2 linked regions of the Lepisosteus oculatus genome follow. The protein of the gene in region 2 interacts with the protein of the main gene of each other region in a biochemical or structural test. Links are inferred from orthologs where the notes say so. Each region holds a gene or a part of one and is shown on either strand. Other genes may lie near its edges.

Evidence for each region. The genes of interacting proteins can lie anywhere in the genome.
Region 1: the proteins of xiap (region 2) and septin-5-like form a complex in vitro, tested with the Homo sapiens proteins (4 studies listed by BioGRID, with this or other methods). The link is inferred for Lepisosteus oculatus from reciprocal best matches to the Homo sapiens genes XIAP and SEPTIN4.

Annotation. Positions count from the first base shown.
Region 1 is NC_090721.1:6,134,411-6,138,166, forward strand, and holds the start of septin-5-like, read left to right. Parts: upstream 1-874; 5' UTR 875-2,544; coding exon 2,545-2,712; intron 2,713-3,756. UniProt on the Homo sapiens protein: Filament-forming cytoskeletal GTPase. Pro-apoptotic protein involved in LGR5-positive intestinal stem cell and Paneth cell expansion in the intestines, via its interaction with XIAP. May also play a role in the regulation of cell fate in the intestine.
Region 2 is NC_090703.1:41,706,304-41,710,059, reverse strand, and holds the start of xiap (E3 ubiquitin-protein ligase XIAP), read right to left. Parts: upstream 2,777-3,756; 5' UTR 2,479-2,776; intron 1-2,478.

The DNA.
Region 1 (3,756 bases), on a different chromosome or scaffold from region 2:
CTTTGCGTGCTCGATAAGCCCATGCATTTTCCTTGCTATTCTGTCCTTGTTAAAGCTCTGATTAATCAGAACCATTGACAGAATATTGCTGCCGGCGCCATCTGTCAGCTGTCAACAGCTGCGTTTCCACGAGCTTTCAACTATTGACTAACCTCAAATCTATAAACCCGGGTGATGGTGGGGGTTTGCCGTCTAATCACCAGTTGTGTTAACACCAGTCTTAACTGATTACAGAAGAAGCACAGCCACAAGGTTTGTTCCCATTAGTTACATATAGTTAGAAATTTCATACTAACTGCATGTTTTGCACTGATGCACTTGTGTATTTTCATCCTCTTCATTGAATTTTCTTCTCTATATTCCTTCACACAGTTTTCCAAAAGACCTTTTTTAATGGTTTGCTCTAACTATTGAATTATCATGAATATTTAGGGTGCTGAAAACCTGTTTTCAGAGAATAGGATCAACCCATCCAAAAATTGGTCCCCCAGGTACTTCCTCCGCACTAATCTAGAGAGAGCAAGTGTGTTCAGCCCAGGGAGAGCTATAGAACAGAGCAAAGAAGAGCACTGAGGTGGATTTTCAGAATAGAGGAGGTACTGTAGGAGGGGACACTGCGTGTCAAAATGTGGCATGAAAAATTGTAGTGCAAAATGATAATTGGATCGTTTCCTTACAAACGTTTTTTTTGGAGATGATAATACCTGTTGTACGTGCATAATTCCATAAACGCAATACTGATGTTGGCATTCCATTGCTAATGGATTGGTAAAACGTGATTAATGTATTATTTTGAGAAGCAAAAGACTATTAACCATGAACTGAAGATCTGGATTACACAGTTTCTGTTTAGTTTTTTTTAGAAAATAGAGAAATGGAGTGATCTTACAGATCTTTGTGAAATTGTGAGTTATGTTTAATTTCTTGATCAGAAGATACCAGGGTGCCCTAAAATCAGATGGCATCAAGACGATGTCAGTCACTGCTGGGGTTAAAGTTGCCCGAATAATCCCTGGCGTTTTGTGAATTCAGAGTGCTGTGTGCAAGGAATGTCAAGTAGTTCTGCCTGATGGTCTAGTCTGCTGGCACTGGAACAAGGCTGCCTTACTCCACACGTTAACCACAGTGAGCCTTCTTGTGTGTTTTGGTTCTTTTTACTCGTGTTTTATGCTTAATCTGGTATTGCATTTACTTAATTTGTCCTCTTTTTGTCATCGTCAGAAGAAGAAAATAACATTTTATTGCTGGGACGATGGGTGATTTTTAAATCCTCGATCTTGTGTTCCTTGATCTTTAACTTAAATCCTCTTTAGACGCTGGAGCTGGGTTTCCCTCTCTTCTAAGACTTTAATTCTGAAGATAATCGTGCACTCTGGTGCTTTAGGAGAACCATGGCAATTTCACTGAGTTAAGTGAGCTAGATTCTTACAAAAGCTGGCTTTGTCTAATCTCGGAAAATATAAGACATTGAGACATTATAGGAGGATCCTTTAAAAATGTGGAATTGATAGCAAATGGAACTGATAACATACTAGTGTTGCACTATAGCCAGGTAGATATAAAAGCTTGTGTGCAAAATTCAAATGTAACATTAGGGCCGCCAGGAGGTCACCGGTGATTCTCCCATCCATAAGGCACCGTCTTCCACATCTCTCACTGTGAGAGAAAATATTTTCAAAATAATCATACCGAAAACGAGCATGATTATTCAGAATGCACTTACTACACTTGGGGCATCCTTCTGAAATGTAATTACCTGACGCATTCTGGCTGTGGCTATGATTACTGTGGATATACCGTGTCATGAAATAAAAGGCTTTAAGCGACTGGGTGACCTATTTAGGGCTCTAGACTCCTCACCTGGTGCAGACCACTATAGTTACATGACTTGTTACCTGCTCTGTGGATGGAAGGAAGATTTATGGTCAGTCTTGTATGTTTACTGTAGGTGATTATAAGACCTATATTATCTGTAACACCTATTCAAAATCCAAGTATTCAAGTATTCTCAAACGTCATTTAAATTATACGCGATGACACTACTATTCACACTTGCTTGTAAATAGCTTGCTTTGAACATAAACCTGGATGTCAGAAACCAGCTTTTGTTTTTGAAATAGTGCCATTACTGCCGGTGAAGAGTAGTGGTTGGGTTTCTGAACTTTGGACTAGAAAGCTGGTATAAATGAGTGTTGGAGACTGGTGCTGTTCCTGTGAGTGACCTGCTCAAACAGATTGCTACAGCAAACCAAGTTGTGGAAATGGCCAAATAAGTATATAAAAAGCAAAATATATTTACTTAACTTTTTTAAGCTACTTTGGATAAATTAAGGTCTCCCGTGTGTTTTTTTTCCCTTGGACCAGCTTGGCATGTTAGTATCCTGTGGGTTATCAGTCTTTATAGTTGGAGGAGTTTAGGAGTGACGCTCGGATCATAAAGGGTGGCTCGCTCATAATACAGCCCTGCCTGTGGGTTTGTTGGTGAGGGTATCCGGTGTGGAGTTCAGAGATCCCTTTTGAAGTGTGTGATGAGGGCCTGGGGGAATGACAGTGTTTAATGGCTGTGAAGGACATGGTGCCCTCACACGAGGGTATAAAGGCTTTGTCTGCACGAGAGGCCAGCTTGTCTCTCTCGGGTTGGGATGGAGAACTGGGCCAAAGCGAGGAGGAAGACCGCAGTACTTCGCATCATCTCTGACACCCATCCTGCAGGTGAGGCTTTTCCACAGGGGGCTCGAGGGGTGTGAGGTGGGTTCTTCTGCCACATCATGACTGTGCCTCCACTTTTCATAGAAGAGTGGGGTGGTGGTGGGGGGGAGATATAAAAATGGGAAATATATCTTTTTTTTTTCTTTGCTTAGTCACTGCAGGCTGAGACTTGTGTTGTGGAGTACCGTGGCCTGTCGTAATAATCACGACGTGAGAGTTTTCCAGTGTTTCAACTCGGAGTAAAGCTTAACAAAGCTTAAAAGTATGTAGCAACAGTGCTAGGTGTCCTTTCACACAGGAAACACAGGAACAAGACAGACATCACTGTAGTGCCAAAGACAGCCCCGCTTTTGAGCTCACTAGGTAACAAATCCCTGTTTCCAAGACATGTGTTGGGTAGAGTGGCTCCTATGCAACATTCCCTTCACCAGTCAACACCTACTGTAGGTCCGCATGTCACAAGTCTTTAAAATCCTTAGGGGGGACAGCTGACGGCACTAAGGTGGTGTACCTGCCTGTGGATTCCACTGCAAAGCTGGGAGCTGTTCGGAAATGAAAGAGCGCAGGGGCTTGTCAGTAGTGAGAGTAAACCATCTGGACTAGAGTTCTCAGCGACATCAGGGTTGAACAAATCCCACACAGTTCTCTGTGGGCTGCTGCATGTATGTGTGTATTTTTCTTCCTGTCACCTGAGCCCCACAACAAGGAAACTGTACAAGGACAAATAAAGCAAGTGGAACCATCCTGTAAGACATTAGTGTTTAGTCTCCAAGAAATAGATTTACAATTTTCAAAGGATACAGGAAGGTTTATTTTCCTCTGAATAATTTGTTGGATCTATTTTTTCTGGCCTCCAAAGAAATACAAGCTAATTTGTCACTTTCTTTTACAAAGAAATATAGATTGACACGAGTGGTATAAACGGGAGGCTTGAGTCCCTGAATTTATTTGTGAAAAGGGAAGCACAATTCAAAGCTCTCTGATATTCAGGAGAAAAATCAATACCACGCCAGGTGATTAGAAAGCAACTGAAGTTCAGACTCCCTG
Region 2 (3,756 bases):
AGTTTTTTTTAAAGTACTCCTCTCAAATCAATTTAGGTCTATCCATGCAGTCGTACTATAAATTGCTGTAACTGCAGTTATAGTTTATCCTGCTTAAGTATATACAGTAATCATCAAACTGCCACCTTCATTAGTTTTTGAAGTGTGCCACTTTACATTTTGCTCTCTACTCCATTAACTGTCTTCTAAATTCCCCAAACTCTGTAGGATCTGGACTGTAACATTTTGAAAGTCAGCTGTATTATTTAACATTCTCATGCAAAAGACACACTCAAAGAACATGCAGGTCAGGCACAATGAAAAATCTTCATGCTGTAATGCTGTAAGGAAACTATGGATGCTTAACCACATGACAAGAATGAAATAGGTAGCAACAGGGGTAAAGCAAATTGCTTAAGTTAAATTGGACATTTCACTCTGAGTACTAGAGGGATTCTACTACTCACATCTCAAACTAGCTTTGTAGATTTTGTTGTTCACAGAGTTTTGAAAATTGTTCAAAATATTATCATAGTCATTTATGAAATACATTCTTGACTACACTAAAATACATACACAAACAGCAATTTCAACGAGGTAGGTGTTGTGAGTGGGCACTGCATTTTATGAAGACTAGGGAATTCTGGTGTAAGAGACTTAGATGAGAAATGATGTGTACCTAAGATTTAAACAAGGGTACTGAACCTAGCTGCTAGATTTGTTAGTAACCAGCCGATAGTACATTGTTCATCAAAGCAAATCATGAATAGTGTAAGGGACACAAAGTACAGCCCAGGAATGCGGCACTCCCTTACAGTCTCTTAACACACCTGGCAACCTAAGATCTAAACTAATAAATTACTGGATAAAATAATCCTTACTCTCGCTTTAACATGTAGATTATTGTTAGAATTTAATAAGAACTTAAACGTGTCCAAGCATACAAATCAATATTGTGTAGTTGCATGAGCACTAGGTTAATTGTTTAGCAACAACATACCCCGATCAATCACAGCCCTTGTTCCCACACTTTGAACCTGTAACACGTGTCCTTTTCAAAAAACAAACAAACATTTGATCCTTCTAAAAACAAGTTTCACACTGCAAAATGTCACACAAACCAAATTCATAATAAGTGACACAAAATGAAACCTATTTTGAAAAGGAGCAACATAATTTTAACTAATCTGGTATCTTCCAATAAGATTAACTTAAAACTGTAATAAAACTAAAAACATTGGTAGAGGTCTTACAGACTCTAACCTATTATTACAGACCTATAATAAACTCACACACTGGTCATTTTTAATTTACTGTAAGCAAAGTTAGATACAGCCAATACCAGAGCCATAACAGCTCAACTACTTAACCTATAAAACTCTCCAAATTTTGTAGAGGGCAGACTTTTCTTAAAATAATGTTATGTATATCTATTGTTCCTACAAAGAGACAACACTACATAAAATTGCATTTAGATAAACATGCCTCAGTTAAAACTCCTGTTGTTCTTCAGTTTAGTGTTTAGGGGCTCTGGATTTTTAACTGGAAGATGGCAAGTTAAAATCCCATCACAGTTGTACCATTGAGCAAGGTATTCAAAATAATGAATTGGCACTTCCAGACAGTAAATAAGAAAAAGGTCTGTCTATTGATTTACCTGGTTAAATATTCAATAGCATTTTAAGACCCTAATGCTAAGAACCCTGATGTCTCTGTTGTTAAAGACATAACACCAATAACCTATTAATAAAACATCTTGTGCTATTGCAGAATTTTCTTTAATATTTTAAATGAAAACCCAACTAGATCTTAAATGTCCAACGGCACCATGCGCTTGAAAGTGTTGAAAGCTGGATTACCGACACCGCCAAATTCAATACACTGTAAGTACACCAAAAGCCAAAGTATACACTTCAGCTTCTAGTATTAATATTGTTCTCGTATTTACATTAAAGTAACCCTTAATGTTTCTCATCTGTAGGTAAAGTAATCTCACCTTTCATACATGAGAAATTCGTATGCAGTCTGTTTCGTAAGCGGTAAGCAAGCTAAATCTATATTTAAAACGCAGGAAACATTCTTGCTCATTATAGGGAAAATATCTAGAATTAAGTTACTGCTATAAAAGTAAGATATTCAATTTGACAGTGTTATTCTTATCATGTTTAACTAGTGGCTGAAACTAACATGTTACCGAAAGTACCAGGGATCCCTTCATGGTTTCGAAACACTAACTGAAAGTGTCCAAGTCCATGACATCTCCGACGACCGCAAAATCTTTATAAATTTCTATGCTATATTTCAGTAAAATGCGCATTCTCATTTCGCTGTATATTTCCGAACGTATTCCTGGTACTATCCGGATTGTAATGCAAAGGAACAAGGTGATGTACTTTAAACAATTATGTCCTATCTGGCACCGTTTCCCTAAATAAGGCATTTAAATACTGTAAATTTTCATGTTCTCAATAAACATAATTGCTACACGTTGGTACTTACCTGTCACAGTGTGTGTCCCCTTTCGCGTCCTTAGTTTGATTCCTCTCCGGGTACCTTCTCTTTTTTCGCTTGCTTTCCGTACAATTTATGTTAAAGAGCCGGAAGTTACGCATGTGACATCAAGCGCTTTCAGGAACAGTGGGTAGCATGGGGGTTTTCAAACCTTTTTGATTGGAGTGCCCCTTGCAGAAATTCCCTCAATAGTAGTCATAAATTATAGGCAAATGTCTGTCATTATTGTATCTCTAGTATTAAATATCAATTACTAAAAGCAAAACGGTACAGCTGTATCATAAGCGCTACCAGTGTAGACGTATCACGAAGGTCTGTATTTTCCCTCTTCAGGGCGAGTAAGAAAGAGTGTTCTCGTTCTCTCTTCATACTGTGAACAGGAAGTTATCCGTAACTTAAAAAAAAGGAACAAGCTACGTTTTAATAAAAGATGAAATATTAAATTAAGCTTTAACAAACGCCTGCCACATTCCTAGATAAATGCACACGACCAGTGTTATTCTACATCGAAACGGCTGTTTAGTTTTTATAGTTCTAGTAGCTATATCATCGTGCAACTGACAGCCCACTGAAGCTAAGCACATGGAGCCTGGTCAGTACCTGGATAAGAGACCTCCTGGGAAGGCTATGGTTGCTGGTGGGAGAGGTTTTAGTGGGACCAGTAGGGGGTGCTCACCGGGTCTTTGTGGGTGCTAAAGCCACAGTATGGCACAGTATCTCTGCTGTTCTTTAGAGGAGGCGTTAAAACGAGGCCGTGATTCCCTGTGATCGTTAAAAACTTCAGGGCCTTTCTCAGAAAAATTAGGAGTGTGACCGCCCTGGTGTCCCGGCCAAATTCCCCCCGGCCCTTGTCAAGTTCAAATTCAAGTTTATTTGTCACTCCAGCCATGTACAGGTATACAGTAACAATAATTGCTTACACTTATATAGCACTTTTCTGGACACTCCACTCAAAGCACTTTACAGGTAATGGGGACTCCCCTCCACCATTGTGCAGCATCCACCTGGATTATGCAACGGCAGCCATAGTGCACCAGAACGCTCACCACACATTAGCTATCAGTGGGGAGGAGAGCAGAGTAATGAAGCCATTACTTAGGAGGCCATGATTGGTAAGGGAAATTGGGAATTTTGGCCAGGAGGATGTGGTTACACCCCTACTCTTTTCGAGAAACCCCCTGGGATTTTTAATGACCTAGGTTTTATATCTCATCCAAAGGACAGCGCCTGTTTACAGTATAGTGTCCCCATCACTATACTGGGGCA